Caenorhabditis elegans: one gene and its partners. The protein of the gene in region 1 interacts with the protein of each later gene in a pairwise test. Each region holds a gene or a part of one and is shown on either strand. Other genes may lie near its edges.

Region 1 (7,933 bases):
TATTTGTATTAAAATATTGTAGGGGTCGAAACATGCGACATTTCTTTAAATTTCCTCAAAAGCTCATATTTTTCAAAATTTTGACAATTTGCCAAAATTTGACCGGAAATTATGAGTGTTTTATTATGATATTTGGTTGTTTTGGATTATTATAAGTGCATTTAGATAAAATCCCCACTGGCGCTACTCCACCTATAAATGTTGAAATTTTCCGACACTTCCAAAAAATTTCCACAGGTTTTTTGAAAGTTCAATAAAAATTGCGAAAATTTTCTTTGTAGTTTTCTGGAACTTTCTGAAGTTTTCTAAACTTTTTAAAAACGTTATAAAAATATCAGGAATTTACTATGATTTAATATGACTCTTTATTTGACGGAGCTCTGTGTTGAGAGCCTACTAAATTAAATTAAATTAGAATGAAGAATACATTTTAAAAATGAATTTTTTGAAAAATGTGGGAATACATTAGTAAACACAGAGATAAATTTGAATGTGTGGATTAAGACTTTTCGATATTCATTCATCGTTCAATACATCACCGATTTTTTTCTGTAGGGAAGGCAAGTCTTTAAAAAAATCGCAACATGGATGCGTAATATTGTAAATTCGAAAGCTCCAAAGTGGTTCAGGGGTGAGTATCAATTTGTTTGTCAAATCTATAGGCCATGGTTCTCGTTTGTTCATTGGCTCTGTAATCATCATTATTTATATATTTTTTTAAAAACATGGTTCTACTGTTGAAGTTTGTAGTCTGTGACGTCAGACTACAAACAACAATTGTCAAAGTTTTGGCGTGAAAATCAAATATTTTGAGAATACAATTAGGCGGAAAGCTTGATTGTTTTGAAATACACCATCAAAGACTCAATTAAACGTAAATTTAAAAACAAAGTATTTAGAAAAAAGTTCCGTGACAATAACAAGCGCGGCCGTTATAAAATATAAACTCACGGAAATAAATTTCCAGATATTCACGGTTTTTCTCTATAAATTCAGAAAATTGGAATTCTTTTGGGACGAAAATGATATCGTTATTGTGAATTAAGTAGTTGATCACAACAACTGGCTGAAAAATATTACTATCGGAAGAGATGGAAACAAAAAACACGTACCTTATTGGTGCTGGCGATGATTTGCAGCAATTCATGAGACGAGCCATAAGTTCTGATTTTGTTTTTTATAGGTTCACACAAGTCTACCAAATGCTCCAACAAGTAGAATTCGGCTTCTTTTTTCAGTTCTTGTAGTTCTTTTTCAGAGTCTGGAAGTACTGTAACACCGGATCTCATGTAGTTTAGCACAGTTTCAAAGTACTTTGGAGAGCGATCAATGAAATAACAATCGGAAGTGTCCTTTTTAACCTGAATTTGAAAAATTAAACGCAAATGTATTGGGAACGATCACAAATGCTCACGTTCGATCCTGTCCTGTTATTTTCTGTTTTACAGGTTTTTCTACTGTATCCCTGATTTTCGTCTTGTTTCGTTGTCGTTGATTTAAAAAAAATTTAAACTAACCGGAACATTAGTCTCAATTAATGTTTTGAAGAATCCATCCTGCTTGGTCAGTGTCGATTTCCACGTCTCGAATACAGATCCGCCGACATTCAACTTGACAATTGTTTCAGAAAAGCACATATTGAGTAACGTGTATTCACAGAGAATAAATTGATGAACAAATGAGTCGAGTGGTCTCGCTTTACATCGATTTTGTGGCCATCTGCTAACCCATTGCTCTCAGCACCACGGGGAGGCTGACCCCAGGGCTCCCACCACGATTGGTATTTGCACAAGCACCGTAATCTTTACATTTTTGAATTACAAGCCACATTTTGAAGCATTCTGGAGATTCAATGAATTTTTTGACAGCGAATAATGAAATGGAAAATTGATCCTTAATTTGGAAATTGTTATTTTCTTTACTTCAATAAAAGTTTAACGTACTCATTTGTCTGATGGATGTCTTAACCTGTCTGCGTCTCAATGGAAGAAAATGGTCCGGGTTTGGGTTCATCTGACCGTTAGTGTGTAAGAGACCCCCTCTGAGCTCATCGATTTTTCCTGACCATCTGCTCACAGTAAGTACGGCGGGAGAGCAACGTTTGGCTAATCTGGTATTGGTGAAAATGTTCTCTAATTTACCTGAACTCTCTCCATTTTCCTATGACATAATAAGTTTTCCTGTAATTTTCTAAAAAATTATCCCAAATTTTCTGGAATTTTTTAAAATTATCTGTTTTTTTTTTTGAAAATTTTGGCAGTTTCTGAACTAGATAATTTGTGATTGCTACTTAAGTCCCTTTGGTTCCAAAATGGCCAAATATCATAAGAAAACGTTTCAAAAAATTTTTGAAAATTTTTTATTTACTGCCAAAAAGTGGCAATTACTCGGTTTTTGCCACTCATAATTTTGGAAATCCACCAAAAAAACAATTTTTTTCTACATTTTTTATGTTTTAATTTTGTTTAAATTATTTGTATCAAAACATTGTAGGGGTCGAAAAATGCGACATTTCTTTAAATTTCCTCAACAGCTCATATTTTTCAAAATTTTGGCAATATTCCAAAACGTTGACCGGAATGGAACTTTCTGAAGGTTTCTAAGCTTTTTAAAAATGTTACAAAATTATCTGAAACTCCCTGATTTTTTTTTTGAAATGTCTCAAATCTTTTAGAACATTCTTAACTTTGTTGAAACATTCTAAATTCTCTAAGAAATGTCTAAAATTTTTCAGAAAACTTCTAGAGTTTTTTGAATCTTTCAGAAGTTTTCCGAAAAGTTTTGATTTTTTTTTTAATTTCTGCAAATTTATAAAATTCCCAGAAAATTGCTAGACTTTCGAAAAAAAATGTTTGAAGTCTTCTGAGTTTTTTTTCGAAATGTTCTGAAACTGTCTGAAAAATTTTTTTTTTTTCTGGAACTTTCCCAACTTTCTCAGATTTTCTGCAACTTTCTACAGCTTCCTACAATTTTCTGCAATTTTCCTCAAATTTCGCTCATTTTCAGCGATTTCCAAAATGGATTCCATAGTTGAGCCCATTAAACTAGATATCGGTGGTACGGTATTCGAGACGTGTAAACTGAAGCTCACTAAATTTGATGGTTTCTTCAAAACTATGCTCACAAGTGATATTCCGGTAACTTTCAATTTTATTTTTTATTTAATTTTCCAACTTTTAAAATTTTCCTAATTTTTCTGAGAGATTCTGGAACTTTCTGGAACTTTCTGGAACTTTCTAGAATGTTCTGAAACATTCTGGAACGTTTTGTAAGTTTCTACAACTTTCGAAATCTTTCTCAAAGCTTCTGGAATTTTCTAGAACTTCCTGCAACTTCAGAGATGTTCCATTCTAGGTCTCAATCGACGAATCCGGGTGCATTTTTGTGGATCGGTCCCCGAAAAATTTCAGCCTGATTCTAAAATATCTGAAAGAAGGTGATGACGTGGAACTTCCAAAGTTTGAACGAGAACTGCAAGAAGTGAGAAGAGAAGCCGAATTTTACCTTTTAGACGGTCTAGTCGACCTATGTGATTCTTTTCTTAAAATTCGGTCATATGAAACTTCGGAGGAGCTTCTTCATATTATTGCAAACTGCAAAAAGGTATAGATGACGTCATTGAGTGGGCAGGGCTTTAGAGGCCACGCCCCTTTTGTAAGCTGGGCCTCCGTAGTTCATGTGACGAAATTAACTTTGGAAAATTTTTTTGTAATTTTCTGAAATTTTTCAGCAATTTCAATAACTTTTATAAATTTTTCTAAAATGGTCTAGAACTTTCTAGAACTTTCCGGAACTTTCTAAATGTTTAAAAAATTTTATAGAATTTTCAGAAAAAATTTCAGAAATGTTCTGGGGCTCATTGAAACTTTCTGACAGTTTTCAGCTGATTTTGTAATTTTTATGAAATGTTCTGGCACTTTCTGAAACTTTCTGAATGTTCATAACTTATTATAGAATTTTCTTTAAAAAATTTTTTAAAATTATTTTTAGGCACGCCCATTTGTGGGCGGAGCTTAATAAGCCACACCCAATTGTTCTCTTCTAGACTTTAAAATGTTTAGCACGAAATTCAAAAATCAAGTTCCTTGAAATATTTTGGAGCACATAAGAGGCGTGGTTTAACAAGCTCCGCCCACTAAAGAGGCGGGACGGGATTGGCTCCGCCCACTAAATGGGCGGGCGGGGTGAGCTCCGCCCACTGAGTGGGCGGGGGTTATAAGATAACGTCAAAATTTGTTCGCAGTTTTGATTCCCAACAAAATTTTTGACCAAGAAAGGGGCAGGGCTTGATAAGCTCCTCCCACAAAATGATCATAGCCGAAAATTTTGGCGCTTCATTCAAATTTTCGAAATATTTTTTTTTTCAGACAGCAATTCTTGTGATCAGCTATACAGTTCACAATGATCACCTCTGGAACTCTCCAGAATCCTTCAATTTTCAATATGTTCTCGAAAATCCAAAGTTGGATGTCTATTTCAGTGAGTTTTTGACCTGATTGGTCGAAAAGTGGGCGTGGCCGGGCGCTGATTGGTCGAATAATTTACAAGTGATTTTCAGAACAATGTGAATGCGAAGATGAATCTGATAAATCTCGGCGTGAAGATGGAGTCAATAAAGGTCACCAATCATGGATTTATCGGCTGTACTCTCCGATTAAAGGATTTAAAACATTTACAAATTTTGATAAATTGGAGAAATATATTAATGGGAGGCTGTGAAAATCGGGAATTTATGAATAAAATGTTGATCACTTCTAGACGCCGCCGTACCTTTTTGAGAAGTTTTCGAGAATTTTCATTATAAAACAAATGTAAAAAATTTGATAAATGCATTTGAAATATTAAATAATATGTGGGTATTCATTCTCCGTTCAAAATACTATCGATTTTCTTCTGTAGATCATCCATAGCTGTTAAATCAACGCAACCTGAATGCGTACTGTTGTAGATGCGATAACTCCAAACTGGTTCAGGGTAATATTTCATTCCGCGATGTCTCCTTAAATCTTTTGGCAGAGGTTCTCGATTATCCATTGGTTCTGCAAAATAATTTTAAGTAATTTGTTACAAATACGCTAAATAAATTAATCAGACATGTTTCAACAAATTGCGATGAAAAAACATTTTTAGGTCAATTTTTTTCCAAAAATTTTTTAATCTAATTTTTATAAAATTTTAAAAAATAAGTCAATTGTGTCATTTTCTATATTAAAATCAAAAATAAAAATTACGGTTGTCACTGTGAATTTCTAAAAATTGAAGTAAACTTTGCGTTTTTCAGTTGAAAACAGTAGTTTTATTTATGCAAACTGTTATATCTCTAAGAAAACATATGGCACTTTTTAAAAAAAATTACCAAAAATATCTCTGTAAATTTAACTTTCAGAAAATATATTTGACATTTTTGTAGCTAATCAGGTTCTAAAGTTATGCTAGTTTTCGCCAAAGAGACACATTTACAGGCCGGTGTAGTATCCTCAAAACTTACAATTTTCGGAATTTTAATGATTTTTTTAAAATTTTCCGAAAACGAAAAAAATCCAAAAAACTCACGAAAATAGATTTCTACCACTGAACTGTTTTTCTTAACAAACTCATCGAATCGAAATCCTTCTGGGATGTATATGATATCGTTATTATGGGTTATGTAGTTAATCACAACTACTGGCTGAAAATGATATCAAAATGATATTAAAATAGCATATATTTATATATATATATATATATATATATATATATATATATATATATATATATATATATATATATATATATATATATAACTGAAACTGAAATATATACATATATATATATACATATGGGAAAATAAATAACACCTACCTTCTTGGTGCTGGCGATGATTTGCAGCAATTCATGAGACGAGCGATAAGTTCGGATTTGATTATTTATAGGTTCACACAAGTCTACCAACTGCTCCAACAAGTAGAATTCGGCTTCTTTTTTCAGTTCTTGTAGTTCTTTTTCAGAGTCTGGAAGTACTGTAACACCGGATCTCATGTAGTTTAGCACAGTTTCAAAGTACTTTGGAGAGCGATCAATGAAATAACAATCGGAAGTGTCCTTTTTAACCTGAATTTGAAAAATTTGACTTTTTTGTTATATCTGGAGAACGGGCCACAAATGATTTCACTAAGAATATATAGGCTTACAAACCGGCCTGGACTGGACTTAGACTTGATTTTTGGACATGATTTCCTAGTTGGCGAAAAAAGAAACAAACTAACCGGAATATTCGTCTCGACTAATGTTTTGAAAAATCCATCCTGCTTGGTCAGTGTCGATTTCCACGTCTCGAATACAGATCCGCCGACATTCAACTTGACAATTGTCTCAGAAGAGCACATATTGAGTAGTCACAAAGAATGAATACCTTGTGTTACAGAAGATTCCTTCTGTTGCTTTTTATCGATTTTTTTGACGACCTGCTCATCGCATTCCTCTGAGCACCTCGGGAAAGGTGACCTCAGTTTTCCCAAAATTGTGTGAAAAATTATTTAATTATTTATTCCGTTACAAGGAAATATGTAGATATAGCTCACAATCAACGAAATATTAAAAAAAAACCTATGAATTTTAAACCACATACTAAAAACTAAAAATCGTCTCCTCATATATCCATCTTCGAGATTTCCTCTCCCAACTACACACTCCTCTCCTCAGCACCATATTGTCGGGCACCATCTCGCTAAACGCAACCTCTTCAGAGTAATAGGCCAAGCAAGCCACGTAGATCAAGGGAATCGATAAGATATTGATGATCGGAAGGATAAATCGGGTTACATCGCGAATCTCATAGGCTTCCTCCTGATCTGCCCAGGGGACCAGGCTGATGAAGCAACGGCCTATGTAATAGGCCTCGGTTAAGGCCATGAAAATAATTATGAATAGCTTCTGAGCAGTTGTTGCCTTGGCTCTTTTCAGTAGAGTGTAGTGCGTGGGCGTGAATGGCTCATTGAATTGATCCAACATTATTATATGTAGGTAATACTCGATAGCAACGATTACGACGCAGACGAGTAACTGAAAATTTTGAAATTGACGTAATTTAAGTATCCGATAAGCTACAGAAATTTTGAATACACTTTCTGAAAGTGAAACATTTGGGCATACTTTTGGTAATTTTTCAAAAAAAAATTGCAAATTTGGCTCTGAGATATTATAGTTTGAATTTGTAAAACTATAGTTTTCAACTGAAAATATTATAATTTTATTCAAAATTTTCAAAATTCTCAGTTGATGAATAACTCATTTCACAAAATTCCATAAAATCACGTGGTGTCAGAATGTCCCATTTCGTTATGATCTACCAGAAATGCGGGAATTTAGACGCAGATTTTTCAAGTGGTTTCGCATGGTTAAGAACGTGCTGACGTCACACTTTTTGGGGAAAATTTTCCCGCATTTTTGTAGACCAAACAGCACCACGAGAAAATTAGAACACATTTTTTTTAAGAACATTGTCAGAAATTTGTTTTTAGTCAAAACATTCTGAATTATTTAGATTAACTACAATAACGTGCTAGATTATTTGAAAACCCAGAAAAAGATCAAATAAATTCAATACTAAAATTTGGCTGACCGCGACGCGACCGCACCGCACCACTAAAAATTTCAAAAGTTACCGAAAATAATCAACATGAGATTCAAGTTTCAGAAAAATAACGGACAACTCAAAAATCAAGTTTTTAGAGTTTGAATCTCAATGCTAACGTTAATTGAAAAGTCTGACCGCGACGCGACCGCGCCGCATCACTAAATTATTTCAAAGTTCTTTGAAAATAGTCGTTACGGGTTTCAAATTTCAGAAAAATTGACGGAAAACTCAAAAATCGAGTTTTTAAAGTTTGAATCTCAATGCTAAAGTTAGTTGTAAAATCCGACCGCAACGCAACCGCAACGCAACCGCAACGCA
Region 2 (7,240 bases), on another chromosome or scaffold:
CTGATGGTCCGGCTGGTCCTGCTGGTCCTTGTGGGCACTTGACGCAATCTTGGGAGACTGGGGCGCAGGTCAGTGGAGCGAAGGTAGCGGTGTTGTCGTCTCCCTTTGGTCCTGGGGCTCCTGGGGTTCCTGGGGCTCCTGGCTGTCCTGGTGGTCCTGGTGGTCCTGGTGGGCAAGTTGGCTTAGTTGGCTCACATTGGCACCAGGCTGGAAGTCCAGAGAAAGTTTGACGCTTTTGACGGAAGACGGAGTTGAATGGGTTGACACGTGGCTTGGTTGGTGGGGTAACGGTGATCTGGATGTCCATCATCTCGGTCCATGCAGAGTCGGTCTCAACACGGAAAACAGAGACTCCATCGAGTACCTATAAAATTGAAATTTTGTTTTAACTATTTTGTAAAAGTATATATATATAAACCTGATCGTGAACTTCATTGATGGTGTTGTAGAGGGATGGGACGGTGAAAAGAACAGCAAGAACAGCAATGGAGGCAGCTCCGGTAGAAAAGGTTACAAGAATCTTCTCCATGACTGAAAGCCTTGGTGTCTTTCCTAGTTATCTTGCCTCCTTTTATACTCCTCTTTTTGAATTACTCATACAGTTTTTTTTTGCATAGAGATGTGTAATGAAATATTCCATTTGTCTCCATGAACTCGCTTTTTTTCTTGTCTTTCTTGCCTCAACTTCCTCATTCAGAAGCCACAAACGAGGAAGATAGTAAAGTGGGCAGGCCGTAGAGAAAAAGCGGACAAAGATGAAATGCTTTTCTCTCAGTAGGTGATAGAGGAAGAAGGACGGACAACTTTCTCTCGAGGCGATTGCATGATATGTTGCGATCTGAATGTGTCAGATGGGATGTTATTTAGAAATATTTTGCGTTACCTTAAAATTCCTTGACTGGATGATAACATTTACAATTAAACCTCTTGGATCGCTCACGGGGTGCGCCTGACTGAATTTTTAGAATGGTTGTTGATGAATATGTAAAACAAAACATTGATGAACATTTTATATCTGGCCTTACAAAATGTAAGTCATTGCTTTATTAGACTCCGAAATCTCCCTCGAAAGCACTTCATTTTAAAATGAGATGTCTAGAAAGTTTCACAAAAAAAGTTATGACAGTTTGAAGATTGAAAAAATAATCCATTTCCGGGTAAAAACTCAAATTTTGTCAACTTGACAATGTTACGACTCGCGAAAACTAGTGTAAATTAATTATTCACTAGTCACTATTCGTATTGCATATCTTGGTATATTACCGAATATTGTTTCGCTGATTGAGGTATTTTGTCAGCCGATGGGTGCAAAAACCAGCAAAACCCTTGTACATGTGTATGCTCTTATTACTTGATAGGTACCTATAAACTAGTGTTCCTACTATTCGCAATCTCCATGACTGAAAGCCTTGATGTCTTTCCTAGTTAAATCGTAGAAAAATTGATAATTTCTCAAAGCGGTATTCAAATTTTCGACTCTAAACTCGTCCGAACTTGGCGAAACTTTTATCCCATTTCATCTTGTGAAAAAATTAGTGACCTTTAGTCACAGACTGCATAATGATATTTAAGTTACACTTTTTTCTAAGCCATTCTTAACAAAAACACACTTCATTTACTTTATGTTTATTACAACCAACATTTTTGTCGTCTACTAAACAATGAAACCTTTCAGCCTCTTTCCTCGCACTCTTGTCAGGTGGAATTACACTTATCTTCATGGCAGACCAAAAAGACAAAGTGAAATTTTTCGAAATGACTATTGAAATAAGAATGTCTCTCGTGTGTTCGGCAAACATTAACTTGTAGTTTGATGTATTATTAAAAGTAAAATTTGAATGAAAATGATTTTATTTTGATAAAAAGAAAAGAGACGATGCTTGTCTTGAACCAATCTAATGGCGGGAGACGAAGACAGCGGATCTTGGTGGGCAAGCGCAATAAGCGGCATCGTTTCCTGGAAGTCCTGGTCCTCCTGGGGCTCCTGGTTGTCCATCGGATCCAGCGTTTCCTGGGGCTCCATCTTGTCCAGCTGGTCCGGCTGGTCCTGGTTGTCCGTCTTGTCCTGGGGCTCCGTCTTGTCCGGCTGGTCCAGCTGGTCCAGCGTTTCCTGGGGCTCCTGGTCCTCCTGGGGCTCCGGATCCACGTTGTCCGTCTTGTCCTGGGGCTCCTGGTTGTCCGTCTTGTCCTGGGGCTCCGTCTTGTCCGTTGTCTCCTGGGGCTCCTGGTTGTCCGTCGGATCCTGGGTTTCCAGCGTTTCCTGGTGCTCCTGGTTGTCCGTCTGGTCCGGCTGGTCCGGCTGGTCCTTCTGGTCCGGCTGGTCCAGCTGGTCCTTCTGGGCACTTGACGCAGTCTTGGGAGACTGGGGCGCAGGTGAGTGGAGCGAAGGTAGCGGTGTTGTCGTCTCCCTTTGGTCCTGGGGCTCCTGGGGTTCCTGGGGCTCCTGGCTGTCCTGGTGGTCCTGGTGGTCCTGGTGGGCAAGTTGGCTTAGTTGGCTCGCATTGGCACCAAGCTGGGAGTCCAGAGAATGTTTGACGCTTTTGACGGAAGATAGAGTTGAATGGGTTGACACGTGGCTTGGTTGGTGGGGTAACGGTGATCTGGATGTCCATCATCTCGGTCCATGCAGAGTCGGTCTCAACACGGAAGACAGAGACTCCATCGAGAACCTATAAATATTTTAGATTAAAAAATGCAATAAATAATGAATAGTTATTACCTCATCGTGAACCTCGTTGATGGTGTTGTAGAGGGATGGAACTGTGAAAAGAACGGCGAGAACGGCGATGGAGGCAGCTCCGGTAGAGAGGGTTACAAGAAATTTCTCCATGACTGAAAGCCAGGTACCTTATTCAGTGTTACCCTTCCCTTTTATACTACCCTAACCGTGACGTTTCTTTGACAGGTAGCGTATTCTCTTCAATTCATATTATATTTCCTCAAATTCCATAGTAAAAGTAGGCGGTGCAAAAGACAACAAAATTCAGATGTTGATAAGCAAAAAAACAACGTACAGGGTGGGTGGCAGGCAACATCTTCTACGGCGATAAAAATTGCTTCTCTTCAAGTACGGCCGCCAAGGTCGCTTTCTCAGAAGAAGCTATGATCGGTACAAATCTCTAAACCTCTTCTTCTTTAATAGTGTCTTGCAATTTTGTGAATGGCATTCATTTATCGCCATAATCTCACCTTGAATAACGGCGTTTTGATGACGGAAACGGTGAAAAAGGAGAAGAGGTAAACTGAAAAAGATTCAATTGAATTATACAATGCTTCTCAACACTTTGGTATATTTCTATGTTCTGAAACATGACACAATGTCAAAGAATAAAACTCAATACAGAGGAAGACGTATACTGGATGTTGTGGAACGTCGTTATATTTCTTCGATTGAATATGTTAAATGTGTGATATTCAACAACATTAAATGATCATTAATACAATTATCAAGAGTAAAATACCCAAATAAATTAGGAATGGCTTGTTGTGCTTGTTGCCAAATTTGGTGGTTTTGTACTAGTTGTGTCAATTGGCGGCATTGCTTTGGAAATTCCTTGTCCAAGTACGAGTGATTCAAGTGTTGATCCAACTGCTAATCTACATTCACAATTGATTCCAGCTGATACCGATATTGGAATCAATTTCCCGCTGTCATTTCGTAGCACATTCAACTGTTGGGTTCCAGTTTGGCATGACGCGTATCCTGAAAAAATGGTATTTTCTTTTTCCCCCACTTTCTCTGTCTTTTCACTACCACTCAGACACGATGTGTCCGCATAATCGCACACGACTTCGTTAAGATATGCAGGATAGTAGGTACTCGGAAGACGTCGCCACACCCAACATGTACTACAAAGGGAAACAGTTCCTAATCCATCTGGAGTGACGCCTCGAGTTGTGCAAGAGATCGGAAATCGAATTCCTGTAAAAGACGAATTGCACTTTTCTGCCAAATGTTGAAGGGATGAAGATCTGGTTTGTCGACATGACTTGTATTACAGGGTTTAATGAAGGTTACACATCAAATCGGAGACTCTCTCAAGGTTGCATGCCGTTATCGAACATTGGTTTGTGGGTTCTAGTAATTTGAAATTGTTAGAGATTGAAAATGAAAAAGAAGATTGGAATTTGAGATGATGACCACCCGAGGGGAATTGAAATTCTCGTAAGGGAATTCACGACCCGGAAATAATTTTTTGAGGGAGAACAATACACGCATTTTGAGTAAAAATTTTTAAAAAAACCTTTGAATGGTTGTTTTCTTTTCATAATTATTTATGACGGTCACTTAAAATTATTGTTTTGAATATATCTTATTTTCAGAGTGTTGAAAAATATATACCAATAAGAAGTTTTTAGAAAAAAAATTATGTCTTCAATACAAACCTATAATTCCGGTTGAGTTCATTGCTGTACTGTTAGGTGGTTGTGAAATTGCAGTAGTAGCTTCAACGTCTCGTTTTACAATTTTCTTTAATACATTTCTCTTCTTCTTCCAAAATAATCCATCCCAAAAGTAATCATCATCTTCATCTTCATCATCTGAAACCTTTCAATTTGTACTTGAGAGTTTTTCCAAAAAAAGAACACTGAATGTTCTCTTACATTCTACATAATCCCAATCATAATGTTGTTTGGCTTTCTTTTTCTTCTCATAGACTCCTTTATCCTGTCTTGCAAATCTATATTTTTGACAAGTTGTGAAGTTCCGCTGATTGTGAAACACCTGGTCAATGGTTCCTGGAAGAAGACCGACCTGAAAATTGGAAGTGAACATTTCTAGAAGCGATTCTGCAAGAGGCTTCCTACTTTTCGCAACTGGCTTCTGAGATCTTTATAGCAATCACGGCATTGTTTAGTTTTGCAGTTGTTTAGTGTTGCAGTCTGAAATATTATAGTTACTTTACACTCCGAAAAAGCTTTAAAACAAATTTCCATAATTTGAAAGTTAATTGAGATCCGAAAACATAATGAAAAAAAAAGAATTACAGATTGTTGTGTCTTCTCTTGTCGAGTAATGGTAAGATCTGGGAATGCCACAATAGCTTCTTCAAGACTTGCTGCTTGCAATCGAGAATCGTAAGGAATACAGTTTGGAGGGGTGGATGGAGTTGTTGGTGGAAGACATTGGCACTGAAAACATTTGAAATATTTTGGGAACTTGTGTTTCGTGCTAATTCGGCAAAAACTTTGAGTTCGGAAGTTCAGATCAGCTAGTTTATACGAGATCAACTTTCGAATCAACTTAAAACTCGGCATATACCATTTTTTAGTAGGTAGACGTTGTTGTATAAATTTGAACTTTGAACAAAACTACCCATTGCTTTCAATTTTTTAGAATAACAATTATCAAAAGAAAACTTGAAAATTAAAAACTAAAACAAACTACAAAAATTATAAATGCTTTGGTTTGAAAGTTGTATATTTGATTATTCACCTTTGGAGATGCTGGAGTTGTCGATTGTGTAATCAAATCATTAAACAAGTCAATTTTTCTCGGCATATCATACCGTTGAGTTCCAAAACATAAAGAGCATAAAAATACAAAAACTAGTAACTTCGACGCAGTCCGTCGACTCATTGAAGCATCTCGAGCCAACCACTCCGACTCCGTCTAGTTCTTGATTTCACACAGTAAGAAATGAATCAAAAATTTGAAATGAACTTTAGGCGAGAGGTGAGGATAAAGTGAGAGAATAACAAAAAAGTGTTGAGAGGGGACAAGTGTGGACTGAAAAAGAAAGTGGCACACTAATCCTGTCGGACGCTCGTTTATAAATCCAAACGCCTCCTGATTAAAATATAAACACATCGAATTCATTTCAAAACGATTTAAATTGTTACAAAAGTGTTCTGAATGGAAATGTTCGAAGAATTAATAGATGATCAATATCATGGTCTGTGGATTAAATATCAACAAAAGGCTTGAGATATATACAACAATTTATTTATAAGAAGACAAATAAAATTTAATTAGATGTAATTATTTCTTTGAACAGAGTTCTTGAATTTTTTCAGCACTGAGTGGTGAAATTGTATCCACAAATTCATGAATACCATTTTCATTTCTCCAATTATCAATACAATTCATTATTGACGAATGAACTGCCCCACATGACATCATTAGTGGTGGCTCTCCGATTCCTTTTGACGAGTAAACTTGTGCTCCATTTGCATTATTAATGCCCAGAAGTTTCACTCTAAAGTCTTTTGGAACATCACTGGCTTTTGGTATCTTATATTTTCCTGCAGTGTTTTGATCCAATTGTCCGGTAGTTTTATTGAATGTAATTTTTTCGCAAGTTACGAGACCATATCCTTGTATGAATGCTCCTTCAATTTGTCCAATATCGAGGGCCGGATTCAAGCTTTCCCCGACATCCATGACAATATCCACACGGATCACACGATTGTATCCAGTTAGTGTATCAATTTCCATCTCTACTGCACATGCTCCAGTTGTATTGTAAGGAGACTCCATTTCACCAACACCGAATTTCGCCCTTTCCACTCTGAATAAAAAATGTATTTTTTTTTAATTAAAACCTTTTGACTAAATCGACTTACGTTCCGTATTCTGTACACTGTAGTGGTACATAGGCACCATAAGCTTCTCGGATAGACTTTTCCCATTCTCCATCGTTTTTGTCAATAATCGGTTGTAACCTAGACATGATTTTCTTACAACATGCCAAAACTGCCAATCCATTAGTATCTGCATTCTGACTTCCACCTGTTTCCGGTGCGTTTGTCACTTTGTCAGTGCTGCAATCAACTATGGTGATGGTGTCAATTGGTCTCTGTAATATTAGTTTAGTTAAGATGTTTCTAATTTTTATTTAAAACCTTCAATGCTTCACTGCAGACTTGTAACATTTTCTGGTTCAATCCTTGACCCATTTCAGTTCCACCAATTGATAATTGAACAGATCCGTCTAAATTAATCAAAAGACTTGCGATTCCGTGCCCCGTTGGACCAGGATGTGGAAGGCCAAAGCGAACTGATGACATAGCAATTCCTCTTTTCACAGCTGTTGAGTTTTTGTTGAATTGTTTGATGCCAGATTGTCTATTTTCAAATTCACTCCATTTTTTACAGTATTCCCAACATTCAACAAGCGCATCATTATGTATTTTTCCACCAAGGTACCTTCTTCCTCCTTCAAGAGCAAAATTGATTCTTTTAATTTCTTCTGTGCTCTTTCCAACGTCTCTAGCAATTCTTCTCATCACACCCTCG
Region 3 (7,630 bases), 6.8 Mb from region 1:
CGAACGACACATGTGTTCGGAGCTTAATTCTGTAATTCTCTGCAAAAAGTGCACAAAGGGAGGTGTATGATCGAAGAAATGCTTTATAGAGAATGGTTGGAGAAGCATAGCATTACAAATCACAAGTCCGGAGCAAATAGAGAAAATAAAAAACATTAAAAATCATACAGGAAGTTACGAAAAATACTAGTCGACGACAATAAGCTCCGTTGGTTCTCCAAATGCGTGATCCGATGCCAGAGAGTTCAACGTGTCAACAGCTCGACCTTCTCCAACAACCACTGCTTTACCACGTTGCAAATTGACAGTACGGTGGTGGAAAGTTGTAGGAAATCTGTAGAAGTAAGTTGTTGAATGAATGAAAACTTAAACTAATAAACCTAGTAGAAAGCCGATTGACCATTGGATTCAGTCCCCATCCACTGCACATTCTGTCCATGATTCCTTCATGAGTACGATCCTTCAAGATTTTCAGTTTTCCATGTCTCTCCAAAACCTCGGCAAGTTCACGACAACTGAAATATGAAACATAGTGATTAATTGGAACTTTCTCGAAACAAACCTTGACTCGGCTCTTTGAATATTGACACGGAGCAAGTTTTTGAGATCAAACTTGTCTCCAAACATCAATTGCGACATGTACTCATCTGGTGTAATTGGTGGCTCAAATTCATTTTCCAAGTTTTCCTTGACAATATTCCATCCATGATCGAAAGCAAAAACAATGCAAGCACGAATCATATCCGGATGAGGAACTTCTCCCATTGGATGCATGTAGGTGAGAAGTTGAACAAGAACTTCGCCAGGGATCAAGTCTCCACGAGCACATTCGCGATGAAATTCTGCAGTGTAACGAGCAATGTATTCTCCATTTTGACCAATACAAAGCATTTCCTTTCCATGAGCGGCAAGTATCCCACTGTTGATGTAGAAGATGGTTCCACGGAATAGAATTGCAGACTTGGTAGTGTCACCCTCCTAAATAAACTACTTTATATTAAACTTTGTTCAACATTGGATTACCTCCAATTCAATAAATTTCAAATTGTTCTCGGGCTTCTTCAAAGTTGTCGCATCGGGCTTTGCATTTCTTGCCAGCAAGATAGCGGGGCACACAATTTTCGTGTAAACTTGACGACCACAGAAGTTCTCAGGTTCAAATCCTGATTGAATCATCTGGTTCCATGTTCCGTCCAAAGCTGCACGGAATGCAAGTTCACTGATAGCAGGCTCCAATCTATTCTCAATCGCTGCTTGAAAGCGTTGCAAGAATGTCATCTGAAAATAGTTCATTAGAAAATTTCAAATAAAAGAACTTCAAACCGGTCTGTAATTGTAGTCAATGAGATGTTTCGACAACTGATAAATCAAATTGTCACACTTGTAACCAACGGCTCCAGCTGTCAAACGACGGAATGATGCGAAAATTGGACGGCGAGTAGGATATGCTTGGTAAAGAAGTTCGAGGAATGCTTCCTTTTCAGAGCAAGTTGCTTTGATAGCTGGGCAATCCGTACGAGATGCGTACTCTTTTTCCGATTTTCCCAAATAATCCGACAATAGGGAGAGGATGTTTGAATGAACACGAATACGAGATCCATCGTCGAATTCAATCACTTCATCACCTTCCTCAAAAGTTGGGAGATCCAGGTACATCTGAAATAGTTTATAATTTACAGATCAATAGATTATAATCTCAAAAAAAAAAACTCACCAAATTCAACACTCTCATTTCAAATTTCAAAAATTTGACGTCACTATTCTGAATTTCCACGTTCAGAGGATATGAAAATGAATCAAATTTATAAACATCCTTATCAACAACATTCAAAATATTCGACTGACATCCAGTTTTGATTCTGAGTTGAACAAGAAGTTGCCATTCAGCAGGAGTTGTTGCTTGCACAGAAAGATATACACGACGAGTACCGTTTTCCATAACTTGCTTGACTCGAAACTGAAGTTTTTCGAAGATGAATGAGTCCTCTTCCTCTCCATTTGGTAGATTCTGATCATCAACGGCAATGAACACAATTGGATTCGGATTCTCCACTGTTTCCTCCACCTCTTCTTTTCCTCCAGCTTCTTCCCTCAACGCCTTCTGACTCTCCTTCAAAATTTCCAAATCCATTTCGTGAAAACTGATTGCAGTTTCAGCAGACAGAACTGACAGCTCCGATAGCGACATTGTTTTGATTTCGCTTCTACGTCTTGTAAATTTTGTGAAATAAATTTATTTTGTAGTTTTCTGGTTATTCGGTTGTTTTGTTGTGACGTGGTATTTGAAAAATGGAAGGCCACGGATGTCATTTTTTGAAAATTAATTTTGAAAAGAAACGCCAATTATTTTTTCATTTAGCCATTTTCAACTTCAACTGCGTCTCAACAAATGTCATTACACATTACCATACTTGCAAATCGGGAAATGAAGCTTTTGCAATGAGGGCGAGGACAGATGCGGGCTAGATGCACTCTTGTTTAAGCCTCGCCGTTATCCTCAGCTTCCAAAAATATTTTAACTAGTTAAAGGAAACACTTTATTTTGTTCAAAAATGTCAACATGTCAAATGTAGGAGAGCAAGAGAAAAGAGTGAGAAAGAAGGGGTTTTTGTGATGTCTCGTTAAAAAATAAATAAGAGCTATAAACCGTTAAAATTCGTTTTTGTTCAAAGCTTATGCAGGGTTGGCTCCGGCTGGATAGACTGTTGGTGGTGGTCCAGCAGTTGCTTGGTTTGAAGTGTGTGAAGAAGAAGTTCTTGAAGCAGACATTGAAGTCCAAGCCATGAGTGCTTGAAGACCATATGCTAGTACAAGAAGTACCGATACAATCTGAAAATATAATAATACTGATTCTTAAGTTTTAGTATCTTAAAAAACAAACAGTTGCCAAAAGGAACCAAAAATTGAAATGATAGAAGATATTGCAAAAATAGTAAATAGTGTTGAGAGCACTGCATACACAGAATGCTCCACTGTATGCGAGTTCCTGAAATAAATTATTTTAAAACTTTTTGCCTGCATTTTTATAACATTTTTCACATCAATGAAACATTTGATAGTAGAATCAGTATTATAGAAAAATTACGGTAGACAAGAAATCAGACAGGCAGGAATGAACTCGTCCTGATTATCATGTTAAAATAGTTGCAAATATTTTAAGAGACATTACTAATAGCCTAAATATATTCGAACCTATACATATTCTTAGCTGATGTGAATAGATATTGCCTATGGAGAGCGAGAGTTCAGCTTTTAGCAACATTTTGCAACATTTAGCAACATTTTGAGCACATTCTGAAGTCAAATCAAATAGTAGTACAAATCGATTTAATCAGCTTATTCTTTAATTTCCCGACTATCAATATAAACAATCGGCGACAACTCATTAAACACCTCTCAAATAAGTTGTAAAATTTCTGCCAAAAACGAGTGAAAATTTTACCAAGAAGTTACTGCATTCGCTATTGATTTAAAATTCTCACTCACAATAATCACAAACTGTCCCGATCTTGTAAAAGTTAAATCTAAGAAAACAACTGCAACAACTGCGATAGCCGCGAGAAATTCCAGAATCGATGTGAGGCAAATGAACCAAAACCATCCACGGACTCCTGGTGAAGCCATAAAGATAATTTGAAGAAGTGTGAGAAGCAGGAGTGCTGGTTTCAGCACTCCAGGCATTTCCATCATATCTTTGTAAGCCATTGTTTTCTGAAAAATCATAAAAGAGTTACTGAAAAAAAACAAGTAAAATATCAAAAGTTTCAAAAATCAATAGGGAACCAATGGAAATGAGGTAAAATCGAGTAAACAGAAACAAGAAACAGGTTTCAGAGTCAGCCGGTCACCGAAACATTCTGAGTCAGCATAAACTACCTTTTCAGCAAACACTCTTCTCTCTCATGATTTTGTGATAAAGTATTGTGTTCTAGAAAGACTCCTTTTATCGATTGGGAAAAAAGGACGAAAAAAGGAAAATGTATGTGAAGAACAATAAAGGAAGAAAAATAAAGAAATAATAAAAGTTGGGAAATTTTGAAAGAAAAGGAAAATGAGGAAAAGGAACAGAACATACAAATTCAAGGCGTTTGTTTTGTAAGCTTAATTCTATTTCAAAAAAACTTTAAGAAAAAGTGTACGATTAATTTTGGACGGCCAGTTTTAAGAGTCTACTTATAAAATTCAACATTTAGAAAACAAAAGAATATTGTGAATTATTATTATGAATGAACGTTATGCTTCGAATTTTTCTGTGAGTTAAAAAATGTTTATCAAAATTGGGGGGAGCAAAAATATTAGAGCCAAGACCAATTTTCGAAAAAGTTGTTAGTGCTCTACTTATGGAGAGCCTCCGATAAATTTCCAATTTCTCTATAAATTTCCATGATTTTACCAATATTGAGTATTTCTGAGTATTCAAAATTTTAAATTTCTGGTGACCAAATTTGAATATTGTACTCCTAGAAAACACAAACAATTGCTACTAGTTAAAAAAACAGCACAGATCACAGTGAAACACTAACTATTGTTTCCAACCACGACTTGATTAGGTAACTTTGATTTCAATTTATTTAGACATTTACAAACAAACAACTACGTCATTGCATGTATTTTCTTATGAAACACTTGATAAACTCGTGAAACTGTCTAAAATGTAGGAAGAAAGTCAAGTGACATTCACTATCAATATAACCTTCAAATTGTGAAATATTAAAAGTTAGAGAGCTCCGTGTGCAGGAATGGATTGTGCCACATCATTTATCCGCACAATGCAAACAAATAATTGAGTCATTTCCATTCAAACATGGATCACCACCATCAAACACACATTCATCGAAACGTGGAATATGTGTTTCATTTATTTATGCACGATTGGTTCGAAATATGTGCAACTAAAACTTCATTGTAAAAAATAACTTTCTTTTACATGAAAACGTAGCTAATTGTAAGATTATTTTATCATTGGACAAAAATTATTTGACTTTTTTTAATCTGGAAAAAAGTGGCTAACATCTAGGTTTCACATATCAAAACTGTGTATGTCGTCCAAAAAAGTATCCTACGAGTTTTATATTTTAAAGATGCTTCAATCGTTCGGATCAGAACATTGTTTAGGTTTTAGCCTACAGTAATCATAAAATTTGAAAAAAGTACCATATTTAAACAACTTGGCAGGTTGCCAAAACTTTGAAAAACATTTTGAAAATCAAAATATTTTGTAAGAGTTTATATAAATCATTACTGAAAATACTTTAACTTTAAGATCTAACTTCATTTTTTCCAAAAGTCTGTCCCGTTTAAAACACTAATTTAAATAAAGTTATCCCCATCAGGGATATGCGCAAATTATACAAATTAACCTATTGCGGCATGTTGATCCAACATTTTTAAAAATTAAAACGTAGTGTCAAGATGTAGAAAAATATATTATTAATCTGCAACATATATTTGTTCTAGGTTAAAACTGCGTAGGTATGTATGCTCGAAAATACATGAAAGTTGCCAATTGTATTTTTGGTAATTGCCCAACTTTGATTCAATTTTTGTTTTCAAATAAATATATTTTTGTATTTTACTAAATAAAACTGAAAACAATCGGAAAGTTGCTAAATGGTTTATTAGTTTTTTGTGATTTCCAAACAAGCTATTAGAAAGTTTAATCAAACTTTCTTTTGTTTGATGAAATTGAAGACCTTATAAAACTTTTCTGAAGGTTGAAATATTTTTGAAAGCATTTTTAAATAGAGTTATACATATAACAGAAAAGCTAATACCCAAGGTAATTCAAATATTAATCGATTCGTGGAAAAGTGTGAAAAGTGAACTTGGAATAGTCGGGGGAAAATCAAAATCAAATAGAAATAGTTAAACATAGAGAGACCCGATAGATAGAAATAGAGAAAAGAGTTGAAGTATTTTGAAAAACTTTGATAACGGGGAAGAATCGACTGATCACGCACAACCATCATCAGCCAACAGCAGCACCGCCCCTCCCCGCATTTTATGGCAACAAGAGCAAATAGTTTATCATTCTTGTCACCATCTAGTATAGAAAAAGTACAACATTTTTGTGGTGAACTGAAAAATGTGACGGATTCCAATTGACTCATCCAGATGTGAATTCAGAGAATAATTGAACATGTATTGTAAGAATATGAAAGAGGAAAAACACATTATTTCGGAATGTGCTATTCCAAAAAAGATCCTGCAAAATTTTTTTTCAAACAAAGAATCAATTTGCCTGATTACAAGAATATACCAATTTCACAGAACGATTGGATGATTTCGGAGATTGTCGACGACAAAAATGGAGAGGGAGATTATTAGGAGCTAGATATCGATAGGTATCCGAAAAAAAGTTTTATTCTAACATTTTTACTCCTCCTCACTTCTGAAAAAATATTGTTCGACTTAAAAATTTGAAATTCCCAGTACCCTTCCTGGGCGCGTTCTGCAGACATAGCTATTACCGTATTTTCTTAATTAGTCTTTCACACTCTAAGGCCACTTGAACATTAGTATGCAGGTTCTAATAGTCTTTCGCTGAAGTTTTGACAGACCAGCGATACCTTTTGGAAATTTCAGTAAATTCGTCATTTTTCGGGCAGATTAATCTTAAAAAACGTCCAAATAACCGATGAAGTATTGGAAAAGTATGTTTTTTTTAGAGCTTTTCTTGGAAATAAATCAATAAGCAGTATTGGTGTCTTTTATATATGTGTCTTTTATATACCCATTCTATAAGCTTAAAGGAGGGCACATTTACGCGGAATGGTCTCGGCACGCGCTCCAAACTAAGTTAAAAACGTTTGGCATGTGCGTCTTTAAAACTACTGTAGAGGTTTTGCAAGCGAATTTTTATCGATTTCCTTGTTTTCTTCCTATTAATCGTTTCTTTCAGTTTCTTTTCCAATTTTCTAGAAATTATGTGTTCAATTTGTGTTTATTAGTAATAATGAATGTTATAGACAAGAAAATAAGCATGTTCACTAGGAAAAACTCTCTTTGATTATTAGTTTTCTGTATTTTATTTGTACCGCTGTTTTTTTTCTTCTTTCAATAATTTTCAATTTTTCTACCCAATTAACAATTGTAGGCTTCCAAATTCCACTTTCCGAAATTTTTTTTATGGGTTACGGTGTACAAATCTGCAAACAGCGCCACATAAAAATGCACGGATATTTTTGCCCGTTTGCAAAAAAAAAATTTTTGCCTTAATTTTATTATAATTTTATCAAATTCATGTATAAAACTATAGTTTCAATTCCTGGAATTAAACAAAACTTCTATTTTTATTTTTCGTGTCCTTTACTCGAGCGTAATATCAATTTTCAGGTGGATGAAACTTGATTATGTTCTTCTCCTTCTTTTCCATTTGTGCTTTGTCAACACGGAATTGATAAGCGTGATTACCGGTAAGATTAAAGATTCCGGTGAGAAGAAGTCGAATTTTTAATTATATTCGGTTTTTTCAGGCACGACTATCGCGATATCGGCCGGAGCGTTTTGGGGTCTTAAGGATCGTTTAAAGTGTTACTTATATGAATGCTGTCATGAACCTGACGTAAATTTCAATTATCACAGTAAGATATTTTCCACCTTTTCACTGAATTCAATTATTCTTAATTTA
Region 4 (7,717 bases), on another chromosome or scaffold:
AAAATTAAAGTTTTCTTTTACATACCTATTTACAAGTTTTAAAAACTGTCGTGTCGAGACCGGGTACCGTATTTTTCGCCGCAAAAATATTGCGTATGGGTAATACTTTCACGTTCTCCAGTGTCTCCTCACAAACTAGAAACAAGTTTCTTAACTGACTACTCCACAGTTTGAACGAGATTCGATCTCATTTTTCTTTCGAATGAAAAAGGTTCAAGATAAGATTTGCTAAGTCCTATTAGTATTCAACAAGTTGCATAGCTTGCCATTAAACTAATTATGTGGTCTTCATCAACTCAGCGACGAACTATTATAATTATAATTATTATCATTCTTATCAAAATTGTATTCTTTAGAGTAGAAAAAAAGATTGTGATACGAGATTTATCAGAGACTAATTTATTCGAATATATTGCTGATCAAAACTTATTATGGCTTGATGAGGGCGAGGAAAAAAGTTTTGAAGGATATTCTAAAATTCCAGCTTTCGAACAAGTTTCGAAGAAACTTGCGGTGAGTATCAAATATTTAAATTGATCAGAACACTCGCTTAAGATTAAATCTTATTTGAGGCTATCGGAAATGATAGAACTGCAATCTGTGAAACTGATACTTTAATTGGGCAGCAAGTATTATGCGGGCTCCAAGAGAAATTTAATGATGAATCGTGAGGTTCATTATTAACTACGAAATATGAATATTGTGCTTTTCAGAGTGTGTGATAGTGATTCACTAACATATTTTGCGGATATCGACGATTTGAAACGAGAAAATGAGTTGAATGCAAACTTTACGAATTGGAAATTATTATTTCCAAGACAGGATCCAATTGAACGATTTGTAGATCATTTTATGGATGCGTGTGTTAGGTAAAACAAATTATATTTTCGTGTAGCACATAAACCTAGAGATGTACATACCTATACAACTGAACGATCAGATATCGACGAAACTACAAAAGTATAAAGTTTAAGGTCATATAAAATTTCAGAGAAGATCGTTCTTGCTTCAATTGCAAGTTGGATCTGAGATGTTATCTTATTCAAATCTGGACACAACTCACACAAATACATTCAAAAACTAAAAAAGTGGATGAAGATCATATGAAATACGTACCACAAAATTGGTTTTGTGAAATGGAAGAGATGAATCAAAAATTCACTTTTGTAGATTACTCGCTTTTTGCAAAACCAACTAATCCGGCGTATGCAGAAATGCTTGTGAGTTAGAGTTTCTAGACATACAAAATTAGCTTAAAACGTTTTTATTTTTTAACATTTAAGCGGCCTGACAGAATAGACAACGACGGATTATTAGCTGATTCTCTTTCTTCCTACGAGAAAATCAGCAGTTTTTATAAATCATTCATTTACTCAAGAGCTGATGTCTTGGATTTGTTCACTAAAGTTTATTATTACGACTATATGGTATTGCAAATACCTCTACCACAGTTGAAGGATGCGGAAGTTCGAGATTATAGAGAAGGATGGCATTGAATAAATCTATGGAACATTTTTCATTATTAAATTATCAAAATTTTCAAAAAATGAATTTCCTTTTTTTTGGAACGTGCAAAAATCCATTAATTGCCTTGAATCTAATCAATGTTTTACAAAACGCATGTTTTTGAGCAAAATAATATTTTTCAAAGCTTTCAAATCATGAGAATTCAATTAAAAAAGGATAAACAAACAGGAAAAAAGTTGAAAATAAAAAATTTCCCGCATGCACCAGAAACGCGTCAATAAAATCGTCAAACGCGCAAGCGTTACTCTTCAAGGCGCAACAACGGGGTTCCACTCGTCAATTTTTGTGTTGAAATTTGAATTTTTCACGTGATTTTAACTGTCTGAAATTGTTATCTATAAATATATATTTTCCATTTATTATTGTTTTGAAAAAAGAATAAAGAAACATTACCTTTTTAAACTTCCAATACCTTGCCTTTCTCGGCTCTTCGAGAAGAAATCTACAGTTTTCCATTTCTTCTCTACTCTTTGTGAAAAATCTGTTGTGTCTTGAAAAAACCTATTGTGAAATACCACTATGTCGTCAAAAAATGATTAGGAAGCCGAAGAAAACCACAGGGACTGAATCTCCTACAAGAATTATCGATTTTTCTCCAAACTGTTTTTATGGTGCTCTCGATTTAAAACGCGTTTAATTCTATGCTTAAACAAATTAAAGCATTTCAAATTTCAGTTCAAAATGGTTTTGGCCGATTTGGGGCGGAAAATCCGAAATGCGATCGGAAAGCTCGGTCAGAGCACCGTTATCAATGAGGGGGAGCTGGATTTGATGCTGAAAGAAGTCTGTACAGCTCTTATTGAATCTGATGTTCATATTCGTCTTGTAAAGCAACTTAAGGACAACGTGAAGTAAATTTTTACGCTATTTAAGATTTAAATTTAATAAATATTTTCAGAAAAGCGATTAATTTCGAAGAGATCGTCGGAGGAGCAAACAAACGTCGGTACATTCAGAAGACAGTATTCAATGAACTGCTGAAGCTTGTGGATCCTGGTGTAACTCCTTTCACACCAACAAAAGGACGTCGCAACGTTTTCATGTTTGTTGGTCTTCAAGGTTCCGGTAAAACTACGACTTGTACCAAGGTTCGTTCCATGAATTACAATAGAAAGCTCACACACCATCAAACATTATATTTTTTAATTAGTAAACTTCCAACAACTTTTCAACACTTTTCAAGTTCAGATGGCGTATTACTACCAAAGAAAAGGATGGAAAACATGTCTGATCTGTGCCGATACATTCCGTGCTGGAGCTTTTGATCAATTAAAGCAAAATGCCACAAAAGCTCGTATTCCCTTCTATGGATCATACTCTGAAATTGACCCCGTAAAAATTGCCGCCGAAGGAGTAGAAAAATTCACGGTAATTTATCACAGAAAAATGGTTTAATAATATTTGTTTTGCAGCAAGAAGGGTTCGAAATCATCATTGTTGATACATCAGGTCGTCACAAGCAAGAAGCTTCACTTTTCGAAGAAATGCTCCAAGTTTCCAACGCAGTTACACCAGATAATGTTGTTTTTGTGATGGATGCTTCTATTGGACAAGCTTGTGAAGCCCAAGCACGTGCTTTCTCTCAAACTGTTGATGTTGCCAGTGTTATCATTACAAAGTTGGATTCTCATGCTAAAGGAGGAGGAGCTCTTTCTGCGTGAGTTTTTACTTCGAGATCCTTTATCGTTTTGAAATTGCTCAAATACTTTTTTCAGTGTCGCTGTCACCAAATCCCCAGTAATCTTCATCGGAACAGGAGAACATATTGATGACTTTGAGATTTTCAAGCCAAAATCATTTGTTCAAAAGCTTCTAGGAATGGGAGATATTGCTGGCCTTGTTGATATGGTCAATGATATTGGAATTCAGGATAATAAAGAATTGGTGGGAAGACTGAAACAAGGTAAATTTGATTTCAAAAATTTCAAAAACTGAAAAGAACATTTCCAGGACAATTCACTCTTCGCGACATGTATGAGCAATTCCAAAACATTATGAAAATGGGACCTTTCAGTCAAATTATGGTTCGTTTCAATGTTTTATAACGATACCTGAATACTTATTTATTTCAGGGTATGATTCCTGGTTTTGGATCAGAATTTATGACAAAGGGAAACGAGCAAGAATCCGTCAACAGGCTGAAGAGAATGATGACTGTGATGGATTCTATGAGTGATAAGGAATTGGATCATCCAAAAGCATCTGAGCTCTTTACAAAAGAACCAAATAGAGTTGCCAGAGTTGCCAGAGGATCGGGATCTCATCAACAAGAAGTTCGAGATCTTCTCGCTCAGTACAAGAAATTCTCTGATGTTGTTAAGAAGATTGGATCAATTAAAGGACTCTTCAATGTAAAGTTTTGTTCCTATTCGACAAATTGAAATTTTGTAATTTCAATAATTATTTCTAATGAATTCATTTTGCAGGGCAAAAACGGTGATATAAACCCAAAAAATATGAATCCAGCGAAAATGGCTCAATTGAATCAACAAATGGCAAAAATGATGGATCCACGTGTGTTGCAGCAGATGGGTGGTATGGGAGGCCTTCAAAATATGATGCAGCAGATGGCAAGAGCTGGAAAAATGTGAAGAAATGGATGCAATTATTTTCTGTAGTTTTTGAAATGCCTGTTCCCAGTTCCCACAATTCATTCTGACTAAAACGTTTTTTAATAATATCAATATGATTTCTCGATTTCCCTTTCATCAGAATGTTTCCCAAGTTCATTTTTTGTCTAGCAGATTCTGTGATTCTAATTAGAAACAATTTAGTTAAAGAATAATTTATTTATTTCTTTTTTCCCTTTTGAATTTTCCTGAATTAAACTCGTTTTTTCCCTTGGCTCATCGGTGTAAATATTCACATTTAAAAATGACTGAAAAACATATGCCTGTTTATTTTCTATCTCATTGTTCTCGTTTTTTGACGAATTTCGAACTATTTTCCATAAGTTTAGATCAATTACAAATTGTAATAAATCAGTTTCAGAACAAGAATGCCACCAAAAACTAGAAAAACAAAAAAAGAAGACGTCGAGGAAGAGGCTGTTGAAGAGATTTTAGAAGAAACTAAACCTGCAAAATTACCAGAATCCGATGAGAGTTATTCGAGAAAAGTTGTCATTTCCAAAGGTGATTTCCTTTATTTAATTTCAAAAATGAATGTTTTTGTTTTCAGAGGGCAATTTGCCAAATAGCCGAATCATCAAACTGCGGCACCCGAAGGAAGGACTAGCGCTGTTCAGAATCTCCGAAACGTGCTTTGATGAGGTAAAAATATTGGTCAAGCTTTCACAAAAAACCTGAATAAACTTTTAAATGAGAATAAACTTACAAAATTTATGCAGATTTTCGCTGTCAACGACGGTCATCGATCATTCTTCTACGGTGAGAGTGTAATCGAAAACGGAACAATTCACATATTCACTCCATACAATCTCGTCTTCATTTGTCTCCCATATCTACAAAAGACCGCAGGAAAATTTGTGGAAATTGGCGAAATATTGGTAGATGATCAAGTTGACGGGATCAAAGAATTGGCTGAAAATGAAAGAATTCTGAAAGCATTGGAAGCTGTTTCAGATGTCAAAGGTTTGGAAATATCAGTTCGTGGAGATGGAAAAATAAAAGATTTCCAGATGTTCTCGATGTCAAACTATATCGTTTGAACGATCAAAAAATGTTGGATTGGATGAGAAGGAAGTTTGATTCTCTCAAAAAACTTCTAGAAAGTGATGCCCACAAGTCTTTGTTGTCATGTCGTAAGTTTCTCGTTTTGCTTCTTAATTTTACCAAAATGAAATAAATTTCAGCGGAAGCATTCGATCGTTATGTTTTCACATTCCTGTCTGAATATCTTTCTTCTGATCTTGCATTGATTGTTAAAGATCATTTGAATATTCAAGATGCTACTGTCTCCGAGAACATCGATATGAGTATGAAACGAAAAGCTGTGGATGACGATGAGCTTGAAGATAAGAAGCAACCTGTCGCAAAGAAACCAAAAGAATCAGTACAATCAAAGAAACTTCAAGCCGCCTCGAAGGGAACCAAATCAATCAGCTCATTTTTTGGAAAAAAATCTGCTTGAATCTCTATTTTCTTTATTCAACAATTTCGCATATAATTTCATAACATTGACCTCAATTTATCTATGATTCCGATGCTATTACTTTGCTCAATCTCAATTTTGCATTTCACACATTTTTTAATTCGTGTACTAAATAACTGAAACTTTGAAACGTTTTCGATTGAGAATACTCCTTCCGAAATGGGTCCTTTGCCTATTTATATCTATATTTAACAGTTTCATCCGATTTTAACGGATCAACAATAAAAAAAATATTTTAAGATGGCGGCACGTCTGGCTGCATCACGAATTGTGCACGCCGGCCGCGGAATCTCTCAACCTACACCATTCGGAAAACGAATGGATCGATTGTCAAATCGAGTATGGGGAGAGGTTGTCATGCCAACTGACACTAAAAGTTTAAAGGTTTTTAGATGATTTTTATAAAGAAAAGTTTCTGAAAATTTTCATTTACAGGTTGTCCGAGTAATGTCTGCAGAACCATATGAAACCAAAGAACAATTATCACCGAAATACTATCCAAATCTTCCGATGTTTCATTATTTGACCAAAATGCTACGATTCCATGGACTATTTTTTGATGATCACGTAGTTTTCAGAGATGTTCAAGATAATTTGAAAATTATTCGCGGAAAAGTTGTTCGGCCACCAATCGGTCAAGGAAAGCGTGCACAATTGAGAGGAAAGAAGTAGTGTGGATGTTCTCGAAGTTTAAATCTAGATTAGAAGTTTTGTTGATTTTTTTTTTACGTTTGTTTTAATTGAAAATAAATTCTTTTTGAGGTTTTGCTACATTTTTCCAATAAAATTAAAGTTTTTAACACAGAAAATATCGATTATTGATTTTCTTTTTAATTGCTCCACAAATAATTGGCAGACGTTGCTTTTTTCAGCAGTTTTCAGACTTAGAATTATGAAAAGAGCAATGGATGGAGCAAAAAACGAAGCGAAAAAATCTAAAGGTTTCGATTTTGCAATTTATCTGAAAAAGTTCATCTCCGGTTTACAGATACTGATTTATTTGGACGACCACTGAAAAAGACTGGATCCTGGGAATCAAAGGTTTCAAAAATAAACTTCATTAAAAAAAACTAAAGTCTGATTTTTCCAGGACAACGGCGATTTGATGATTTTCACCCATTCAGAATGTGAAGGAAAAGAGAAAATTGCCGCATTCGATATGGGTAAGAATTGGTCACATTATTTTATTGGCGAGATTTAACTTTCCATGAGTATTCCAAATTTTGATTATGAATATCAGATATGAATTGTTTCAATGGAAAATAACATGCTATAGTTTTAGAAAAATATGAACGATAACAAAAAATTAATAAGATTTCGGAGAACGGTTCACAGATGTTTCGGTTTCTTCTACACTGTCTTCCTTCCCATTAGAATCCTTAATAAGCATCTCCAATTGTTGAAAAATGTTTATTTCTGGCAATTTCGATGATTCATTTGGTTTCTGTTTTACTTCACTCTCTGTGGTTGTACTATTGTTTCCCTCGACTTTTAAACTAGTTTCTCCATTTTCTGCATTAAAATCTTCTAGGAATCCTGAAACATTTCCTTCTGATATATTCTTCCATTCATCACTGTTAATTAGTTCAAAAAGTGATTCTTCAAGCGTTTTGTCTGTTGTGCCATCACTAGTTGATGGCGTTTTTGGGCTTGAACTTCTTGCTTTTATCAATCCGTGTCGAATCATAAATCTTTGAAGCCAACCATTACTTGCCTAGAAAATATTTTATTCGAAATTCGAGTTTAAATGTTTCAAACCTTAAAGTCTGCATTTCCATTAATTTTCTTCGCATATTCCTTGATATCTTTTCCCGAAATTTTCCCGTTTTTCGAAGCAATCCAATCTTCAACTTTCTCATCTAATTCCACATTCTTTAGCGGTCTTCCTGCTCCACCGAGCCTCTTTGCTCCTTGTTTTCCTTCTGATTCGAATGCTAATTCGTGCTGAAATTCCAGAAATTTGTTGATAGAACTACTGTAGTTCAGAAATACCTTCAAATGTCTCCATCGTTGAATACAAGCTCTTGCAACTCCATATTTCTTCTGAGCTTGACAATTATTTGTTTGTTCAGCAAAT

What was found.
Region 2: the proteins of C40A11.2 (region 1) and col-10 interact in a two-hybrid assay, tested with the Caenorhabditis elegans proteins (one large-scale study listed by BioGRID).
Region 3: the proteins of C40A11.2 (region 1) and C18E9.9 interact in a two-hybrid assay, tested with the Caenorhabditis elegans proteins (one large-scale study listed by BioGRID).
Region 4: the proteins of C40A11.2 (region 1) and F21D5.6 interact in a two-hybrid assay, tested with the Caenorhabditis elegans proteins (one large-scale study listed by BioGRID).

What each region holds. Positions count from the first base shown.
Region 1 is NC_003280.10:2,143,946-2,151,878, forward strand, and holds C40A11.2 (BTB domain-containing protein), read left to right. Parts: upstream 1-3,004; 5' UTR 3,005-3,017; coding exon 3,018-3,137; intron 3,138-3,354; coding exon 3,355-3,603; intron 3,604-4,367; coding exon 4,368-4,479; intron 4,480-4,558; coding exon 4,559-4,719; 3' UTR 4,720-4,847; downstream 4,848-7,933. Other genes in the region: C40A11.6 (BTB domain-containing protein), read right to left, coding at 517-689, 952-1,066, 1,113-1,361, 1,518-1,637; C40A11.7 (BTB domain-containing protein), read right to left, coding at 4,861-5,039, 5,554-5,668, 5,842-6,090, 6,246-6,365; C40A11.8 (G protein-coupled receptor), read right to left, coding at 6,607-6,990.
Region 2 is NC_003283.11:9,162,461-9,169,700, forward strand, and holds col-10 (Cuticle collagen 10), read right to left. Parts: upstream 2,848-7,240; 5' UTR 2,831-2,847; coding exon 2,720-2,830; intron 2,670-2,719; coding exon 1,896-2,669; 3' UTR 1,832-1,895; downstream 1-1,831. Other genes in the region: col-145 (Putative cuticle collagen 145), read right to left, coding at 1-364, 419-529; B0222.11 (uncharacterized protein), read right to left, coding at 3,471-3,703, 3,755-3,922, 4,387-4,542, 4,606-4,756, 4,810-4,884, 4,990-5,133, 5,438-5,581; putative aldehyde oxidase gad-3, read right to left, coding at 5,984-6,512, 6,568-6,800, 6,847-7,240.
Region 3 is NC_003280.10:8,985,834-8,993,463, forward strand, and holds C18E9.9 (MARVEL domain-containing protein), read right to left. Parts: upstream 3,712-7,630; 5' UTR 3,706-3,711; coding exon 3,487-3,705; intron 2,987-3,486; coding exon 2,882-2,986; intron 2,830-2,881; coding exon 2,674-2,829; 3' UTR 2,526-2,673; downstream 1-2,525. Other genes in the region: C18E9.8 (DUF7754 domain-containing protein), read right to left, coding at 187-334, 381-515, 563-978, 1,024-1,278, 1,324-1,656, 1,715-2,188; ooc-5 (Torsin-like protein), read left to right, coding at 7,340-7,433, 7,476-7,583.
Region 4 is NC_003282.8:8,738,190-8,745,906, reverse strand, and holds F21D5.6 (Ribonuclease H2 subunit B wHTH domain-containing protein), read left to right. Parts: upstream 1-4,518; 5' UTR 4,519-4,525; coding exon 4,526-4,661; intron 4,662-4,707; coding exon 4,708-4,799; intron 4,800-4,876; coding exon 4,877-5,120; intron 5,121-5,167; coding exon 5,168-5,290; intron 5,291-5,341; coding exon 5,342-5,619; 3' UTR 5,620-5,767; downstream 5,768-7,717. Other genes in the region: F20C5.7 (uncharacterized protein), read left to right, coding at 280-513, 573-667, 714-869, 992-1,220, 1,284-1,496; F21D5.7 (Signal recognition particle 54 kDa protein), read left to right, coding at 2,209-2,378, 2,426-2,615, 2,716-2,895, 2,940-3,184, 3,243-3,430, 3,478-3,551, 3,600-3,878, 3,954-4,118; mrps-33 (Small ribosomal subunit protein mS33), read left to right, coding at 5,881-6,024, 6,076-6,312; F21D5.4 (HTH CENPB-type domain-containing protein), read right to left, coding at 6,947-7,354, 7,399-7,584, 7,633-7,717; F21D5.5 (uncharacterized protein), read left to right, coding at 6,533-6,581, 6,629-6,681, 6,731-6,803.